2 linked regions of the Oryctolagus cuniculus genome follow. Each later gene encodes a partner of the first gene's protein in a complex. Links are inferred from orthologs where the notes say so. Each region holds a gene or a part of one and is shown in the gene's direction. Other genes may lie near its edges.

Region 1 (3,500 bases):
CATCAGTGATCCCAGAATTATTTTTCTTGTAGTCTCTCCTCCAATTATTCCAAATAATTTTTGCAAAAAAATTAAAATTAAATGATCTTGAAATTTCACTTTAAAAGAAAAGTTTTACATATTGCATTGTTCAACCTTTCTTTAGGAAGGAACATTAAAAACATTTCCCTGAGACCTTGCGATCATGCTTAGGGAATGGGAATGGCAATAATCCTGGAAGTTTCCTCCCTCTTGCTGGAATTATTTTTGGCTGAGGGGAGGGAGACACATTGAATATTCTTCCTCTCCCCATCAACTCATCAAGATCTGAAGGTTGATTGTAGAGTTTTACCCCTGTGATTTATCTGCTAGCACAGACTGTTACAGGCAAAAGTGTGAAGTGCCGAGGGTGTCTCAAATGGAAACCTAAAAGAGTGTCAGAAGTCCAGGCAAGTTGGATATAATTAGTGCTGGCACTTTTGCTTCTCTAGACAAGAAAAAGAAAGATGACTTAAAGTTTTACTGTGAGAAAAAATGAGAATTGGATGAATGAATGTTAGGAGAGATCTCATGTTTTACTGCCCTAGAATTTTCAAGCATCATAGGAAAAAGCTTATTATATTTTTTGATGGAAAGATGAGAGTTAACACTTTCTTGGGAAGATCAGGATGATTTTTTTTCTATTTTCTCCTCTTACTTGGCAGACATCTCATTTTATTCTTTCTTTGGCCCTATGAGCTGTAAGTATCATTATCCTCATTTGATAGCTGAAGAGTGCCTGAGTAATTTTGTCCTGGGGCAGATAGTGGCAGTGCTGGGATTTGAATATAGAATATCTGACCAAAGGCTGTGCCCTTAATCTTACCATATATAATGATTTTTAAAGGGTGAGAAATGGAAGCATCAGCACCACCTGTGAACTTCTCAGAACTCAGGAACTCTGACAGTGGGAACCAGCAATCTTTGTTTTAAGAAGCCCTCAGGCTTCTCTGCTGCATGCTCAGGTTGTACTTGTCTCTGACAGAGATGTTCAAAGGAGAACGGATGAAGGACTTTTTAAAGGATTGTGTTACAGATGCTAAGACAGTGGTAGAGAAGGGCTGACGGCATAGTGCCCAAGTTGCCATGTGGGACTCCTTACAACCCATATAAGAGTGCCAGGCTCTGCTTCCGATTGCAGCTTTTTGTTAATGTGCACCCTGGGAGGCAGCAGGCAACAGAGCAAGTACTTGGAACCCTCCCCCCATGTAGAGTACCTGGACTGAGCTTGGTTCCCTTTCTCCACCTGGCCAAGCCCTGGTTGTTGCAGGTGTTTTGGGGAGTGAACCAGTGGATGGGAGAGTTCTCTCTCTGCCTTTCAAGTAGAAATAAATTTTAAAAAACATAGTAGTGGAGAATATTAGAATGAAAGAATACCACAGAAGTCCCAATATATGTGAAAAGGCACATATTGAATGGAGAGAAAGGAAGGAATGTTAATAATGCTAATGGGAAACAGCTGTCAGAAAAAATGGCTGTGTTGTGTGGGCTTCATGTCCTCAAATGAAATGATGATTGGAATCAGAATAGTGTTATTTATGTCTACCTCAGTATAAATGAATAGGTCAAGGGCAAATACTTCTCTAAGTTTATTTCTCACTCATTGTAGAAAGTGACATTTATTTGGGATCAGAGACAGATTCTTCTCTTTTGTTCTGCAAATTAAAAAAAATAGTCTCTCTACTAATTGTGGTGGTGGTTACATCAGTTTATACATTTCTCAAAACTCATACTGTACCATTAAAATGGGTGCATATTGTCTTAAAATTCTATCTAAAAATTTTTTTTAGACATTTAAAAAGTGGATTGTGTTTCTGTGGCAACTTCCTGTCACTGGAGGTGATGAACAGAGGACTGGTAACAACCTGTCAGAAGGGGGGGGGGGGGCACACTGGAGAGTTGCACTTGGTGACCCAGCATTTCTTCTACCCAGAAATCATGTGAACCACAGTCACTGTTCTGTCAGCACAGGTGTGGTGATTTTATGTCGAATGCTCTATTAATATGTTTTATCTGAGACATTTTAACTTGTCATGAATTTAAAATATATTAAAGTATTCAGGCGTAAAACATAGGATGGTAAATTCATTCAGTGCTCCCTACTGCTTATCACAAGTAGAAAGATTTCACGGTAAATCATATTGTAGTCTTATCCCTAAAACACAGCAGTTTGTATTTAATGGATCAAAGGCACTTTAACTCCTAAGGTAAATTTGCCTGCTTTAAACAGAATCTTCAAAAAAGATAAGTTAGAGAGGTTTTTTTTGGTCTGATTTTTTTTTTTCCTTCAAGCCCAACCTGACATGAAAATGCTTATTTGGATTTTTTTCCTCTGGAAAGTTGATGCATTTGGAGAATAGTATGTTTATATGTTTGAATGTATTTCAGTGTGAGGTGCTTTTTGCTGGAAAGGTGCCACCCTTTTATTACCAAATAATTAAGTCTCCCTCTTTTTTTCACGAAAGTGAATTTGTACCTTTGACATGGTTTATCAGATGCTATTAATGAACCATTATTAAGACTGCAAGGCTGCAGTACCCGGGGCCCTGATTACAGGAATTAAAATAGTGTGTGTTGGCTTCCTGCTGATCCCCAGCAGGCATGCTCACTCATAATTCCTTTGCATCTAGTCTCAGCAGGAGAAGATTGACAGCATTGCAGACCATGTCAACAGTGCTGCTGTGAATGTTGAAGAGGGAACCAAAAACTTGGGGAAGGTAAGATTCTGCTCCTGCTGACAAATCAATGGTACTCTGGCTCCCAGGAATCTCTAGTATTAACCCGATTGATCTGCTCTCTTCAATGTTGAGAGAACCAGCAATTAAGGAAATAAGGAAGAAATGACACATAGGTGGTGCCAGAAATCAATGGTTGTAATATTCTACTCTAAGATTCATTCTATCAGGAGAGGAATTTTTTCCAGGAGAGAATTAACTGTACCCTACTGTTAGCTATTTGGTGTTTCAAGGGAATATGCACAGAGGTCCAGGGAGAGGAGGGTTGCAAGAATCCAGTCAGGGCTAGACTATAAGGACATAATAGCATATGTGGAGTAGGATCCTGTTTTCCATAGGATGTTGTTTTTAACCCCAGATACATAACATGGAATAATCTCTGTGCAACATAAAAGCTTGAAGCAAGGGTGGGAATCTGTGACTGCCGAAACTGTTTAAATAAACCATGGATTGATTGTTTTACAAGTAAAATCAATTTGTTAGCTGTCCACTCTTTATAGCTCATTCTTCCAACTTCTGATCATTGGAACAATTGTAGTACCTGTGGAATATTTTCTTTCCTCTGCCCCCACAAGCCCCACAAATATAATCTCTAAGTTTAATTATGTACTAGGAGTTAAATAGGCATTGCAAGGAGTAATGAGAGGAAAATGCACATCACCACAGGCAGATATTCTCAACTCAATTTCTAAATTGAATTTTTTTTTTACAGGCTGCAAAATACAAGCTGGCAGCTCTGCCTGTGGC
Region 2 (4,201 bases), on another chromosome or scaffold:
CAGAAGCCCGGAGCTCCATCTGGATCTCCCATGTGGGTGGCAGGGACTCAAGCACTTGGGCCTTCATGTGCTGCCTCCCAGGCAGTAGCTGGAAGTTGGATGGGAAGTGGAGTAGCCGGGACTCAAACTGGCACTCCGATATGGGATGCAGGTGTCCTGAGCTGTGGTTTAAAAACTGCGCCATAATACTCACCCCCCGAGACATTATTCTAACATGCCATCAACATATGAAATTATGAATGCGATATTTCCATTCTTCTTTTCATACTACGTCTTTGAACTCTGGTGTGTATTTTACATTTACAACACATCTCAGTTCAGACTGGCCACATTTCAAGTACTCAACAGCCCAAGTGGTTAATGGCAACTGGTCTGGATGACACAAGTAGAGACTAAGAATTCCACTCCTCCTCCACCTGGCCTTGTGGCAACCTGAGAAGGGTGAGGCAGCCATGTTTCTTTGCCAAAGCAGGCTGGTACACACTTTGTTTCCCAGGCTATTTGTCCTGGCCACTAAAATTCATGTCTGTATAATCTAATAAACTTACAACCTAATTGGGGACAAAATTGTATTTAAGTTAGAAAAAAGATGTCTCAAGACAAAATGTATTAAAGACTTTTTAAAAGCACTGGTTTGAGTCCCGACTGCTCCACTTTATATCCAGCTTCCTGTTAACGTGTTCGGGTAGGCAGCAGAGGAAGGCCCAAGTACCAGGGCCCCTGCCAGCCACATGGGAGACCTGGATGGAGTGCCTGGCTCCTGGCTTCAGCCTGGCCCAGACCTGGCTGTTGCAGCTATTTGGAGAATGATCCTGCAGATGGAAGATCACTCTTATTCTGTTTCTTGTCCTCTCTTGGTGTTCTGCCTTTCAGATAAATCTCTCTCTCTTTTTAAAAGTATGTGTTGGTGAAGTTGATATTTCCTCTTTGGAACTGCCATTTCTTCTGGGAAGAGGCAAGAATGTTTGTTCCCTTCTGCAGGTCCCTGTTACTGTTCTTGTGTCTTGATAAACACCATCCAGGAAGAGAGGATTTTTTTTCTGGCCTTTCTCTGGCCCAGGGCCAGGTTGGTGGAAAAATCCTTTGCCCTGGGTCGTCCCTGTCTGGTTCATTGGGCTGTCCTCTGACCACTGATAGGGTCAGCAACCTCCCCCAAAACACACACACACTGTCCTCCCAAGGCACATGCAAGGCAATTGGGAAGGGAAGGGGAAGGGCTGGTGGGCCATCATTTCCTGATTACTTATTTTGTTCAAGGCACTGTCAGGCACATTGTGTGAGCTGTCTTTTACTCCTTTGCACCTGCAATACAGAAAGAGGTGAGGAAGTTCACTAGGCAGCATGCAGCCGGTAACCCTGAGCTTTCTGACACCCGAGCCTGGGGTGACAGCATTCCAGACTTTTCCCAGTGTTTGCAGTCCTAAGTACAAGGGCTTCGGCAAGATCTTGTCACCTCTGCACCTGTTTTCACGTGATCTCGGCCCGCAGGGTGCTTAAGACATCCCAGACATAAAAAGGAGTCTGTCCCGCCTCAGGAAACCTAGGAAGGTTGCTTGATCTTTGCTTTGTCGTTTCTGGCAAGTGGCAAGACCTTCGGTGCCCTCCCGGGGAGCCTTGTGGCTTTAAGTTTAAGCCCTGGTTGGGTGGAGACTGGGAGGGCGGGGGCGGGAGCCCGCCTACCTGAGGAAACCTGCGTTAGGTGTGGCGCGAGCGCAGGGATGGAGGTGGGCAGGGGCGGGCTGAAAGTTGGAGCAAGCAGGAAGTGGAGCGAGGGCTGCCCGGGAGGAAGCAGCCTGGGTGAGCTCCGCCGCTGACGGGCCCCAGCGACTCGCAGACATGGTGAGCGATCCGGACGGGGGCTGCTTTCTAAAGGGGGCTGGGGACTGGGGCTTGGCCTTGCCGAGAGGGGAGGGTGCGTGGTGAAGTCAGAGGGCTGGGGCCGGCGCTGTCTGTGGCCTCTCTGACAACTTGGCCGCAAATACTTCTGAGCCGCCTGGGCGGTGTTCCTGTCCCTGCCCCACTACCTCCCTCCCCTGGCCTCCGTGCTGGCCCCGAGCAGGGCCGCGGTGGGGGTTGGGGGGGCGTCCGAATTCCAGGCAAAGAGTTGCTGCCACTTTCTGCCGCCCCCCGCCCCCGCCTCCCCTGGCAGGGACAAACTGGGTGTTGTGACACCGCTGGACAGCAAGCGCCTCTGCTGTTCCCGGCTCAGATTCCAGGCCAGCGGCGGCGGGAGTTCTCCCACCGGGCCTCCCGCTTTCTCCCTATGCAGAAACCCAAAGGATCCCTCTGTACCGCGTCTAAGGAAGCAGCCGGGGGCCTGTAAAAGACCCATAAGTTGGTTCTCTGCGATAATCCAGCTTCGCCCCACACCCTTGGCAAGGTTCTGCCCCCCCCCCCCCCCGAGGGCCAGGCTGGGAGGCCTGTTTTCCCTCCTTGATCAAAAACCTTATCATGAACCCTGCAGGATGAGGCAGGCAGCAGGCGGGCAGCACTTGTCCTCCATTTCCCCCAGCGCCCAGGTGCCTGTTTTCACTTAGTATCTGCACAGGCTCTGCTGAGAGGTGGGGAAAGCAGAAGTGTGTGCTCAGCGGATCATGGCGCCGTGTGAGGGACTTGTTGGCTCTGGGTCATAGCCATGGAACTAGGGTCAGGCTGTCCAGGAAGCCCCGGAGCCGAAGCAATCCTCCAGCAGCTGTCCGGGAGCCGGAGCAGGCTTGGGCCAGGTGGGGCGTCCTGCTGGCTGGCACTGACAGGTTTAATGAAGACTCAGGGGGGTCCAGGAAGCAAGGGAGGGCTCTAGGACTTGGTAAATCGCGGGGGGTCTGCGCTGGAGGGGGACATTGTGAGATGCCAGCTCTGCAGTGCCTGCGACCCCATGAGGAGGAGGAAGCAGCCGAGAGGGAGTTAGCCATGCTGCTTTCTTCCTTGCCAGGAGCCCTGGGAACCCGAAAGTTTGAGTGATGGTGTCCAGCATCAGATCTCACCTGCTGGGGCTTACAGATGCATTAAAGCAGGAAAAGATAGTTTGTAAACAATGCAAGCATTGTAAAGGCTGACGTCCACCTGAGGCCTTCCACTGCCCTGGCCTCTGTGGCTGGGTCTCCCTCTGGTCCTCTGTCACTTGGCCTAATTAGCCCCTGTGCTGTGCGCAGGAGGCGGCCAGCGGAGGCGGAGATGACCGAGTGCGGAACCTGCAGAGTGAGGTGGAGGGAGTCAAGAATATAATGACCCAGAATGTGGAGCGGATCCTGGCACGAGGAGAAAACCTGGACCAGCTGCGCAACAAGACAGAGGACCTGGAAGCCACTGTGAGACGGGAAGACCCTGGGACCAAGGGAGGGCATGGTGAACGGGAGGGGCGAGGCTCTGCTGTTTCTGTTGCCTTTGCATCTATTTCAGGAATTGGCATGAGCTGGGTCCCCATTTCCTATTCTGCTCTGCTCCATTGATTGGTATGGGACCAAGGAATGAGTCTGATGACTGGGGTTGGGGTGGGGTGACCCACAGAGACATTTTCTGAGGCACACAGGTGGCTCAGTCAGCCCGCTCATTTTACTGTGTAGTGGTAAAAGCTGCTGCCTACAGTGCCAGCATCCCATGTGGGCACTGGTTTGTGTCCCGTCTACTCTTAGCTCTCTGCTATGGCCTGGGAAAGCAGTAGAAGATGGCTCAAGTCTTTGGGTCCCTGCACCCACTTGGGAGACCCAGAAGAAGCTCCAGGCTCTTGGCTTCTGATGAGCCCAACTCCAGATGTTGCAGCAATTTGGGAAATGAACCAATGGATAGAAGACCTCTCTGTCTCTGTCTCTCTCTCTACCTCTGCTTCTCTGTGACTCTGCCTTTCAAATAAATCAATCAATCTTTTAAAAAAATACATTTACAGAGGCCGGCGCTGTGGCATAGCCGGTAAAGCTGCCACCTGTAGTCCTGGCATCCCATATGGGCGCTGATTTGAGTCCCGGCTGCTCCACTTCTGATCCAGCTCTCTGCTGTGGCAGAGCATAGAAGACTGGCCCAAATCCTGCACCCATGTGGGAGACCCAGAAGAAGCTCCTGGCTTCAGCCCAGCCCCGGCCATTGAGGCCACTTGGGGAGTGAACCAATGGATGGAAGACTTCTCTCTCTGCCTCTCTGTAACTCTGCCTTTCAAATAAATAATAAAATAAATCTTAAAAACAAACAAACAAAAAGATTTACAGAG

The links.
Region 2: the proteins of STX17 (region 1) and VAMP8 are in contact, whole or in part, in a crystal structure (PDB 7BV6), measured with the Homo sapiens proteins. The link is inferred for Oryctolagus cuniculus from reciprocal best matches to the Homo sapiens genes STX17 and VAMP8. Residues at the interface, in NP_060389.2 of Homo sapiens: Ser171, Trp172, Thr174, Leu175, Asp178, Leu179, Glu181, Leu182, Leu185, Val186, Phe189, Leu192, Val193, Gln196, Glu198, Lys199, Ile200, Ser202, Ile203, His206, Val207, Ser209, Ala210, Asn213, Val214, Glu216, Gly217, Thr218, Asn220, Leu221; in NP_003752.2 of Homo sapiens: Gly9, Val13, Leu16, Gln17, Val20, Glu21, Val23, Lys24, Met27, Thr28, Asn30, Val31, Ile34, Leu35, Arg37, Gly38, Leu41, Glu42, Leu44, Arg45, Thr48, Glu49, Leu51, Glu52, Ser55, Glu56, Phe58, Lys59, Ser62, Gln63.

The regions. Positions count from the first base shown.
Region 1 is NC_091432.1:203,661,166-203,664,665, forward strand, and holds part of STX17 (syntaxin-17), read left to right. Parts: intron 1-1,808; exon of another isoform or gene 1,809-1,989; intron 1,990-2,648; coding exon 2,649-2,735; intron 2,736-3,465; coding exon 3,466-3,500. UniProt on the Homo sapiens protein: SNAREs, soluble N-ethylmaleimide-sensitive factor-attachment protein receptors, are essential proteins for fusion of cellular membranes.
Region 2 is NC_091433.1:117,071,450-117,075,650, reverse strand, and holds the start of VAMP8 (vesicle-associated membrane protein 8), read left to right. Parts: upstream 1-1,401; 5' UTR 1,402-1,836; coding exon 1,837-1,839; intron 1,840-3,152; coding exon 3,153-3,308; intron 3,309-4,201. UniProt on the Homo sapiens protein: SNAREs, soluble N-ethylmaleimide-sensitive factor-attachment protein receptors, are essential proteins for fusion of cellular membranes.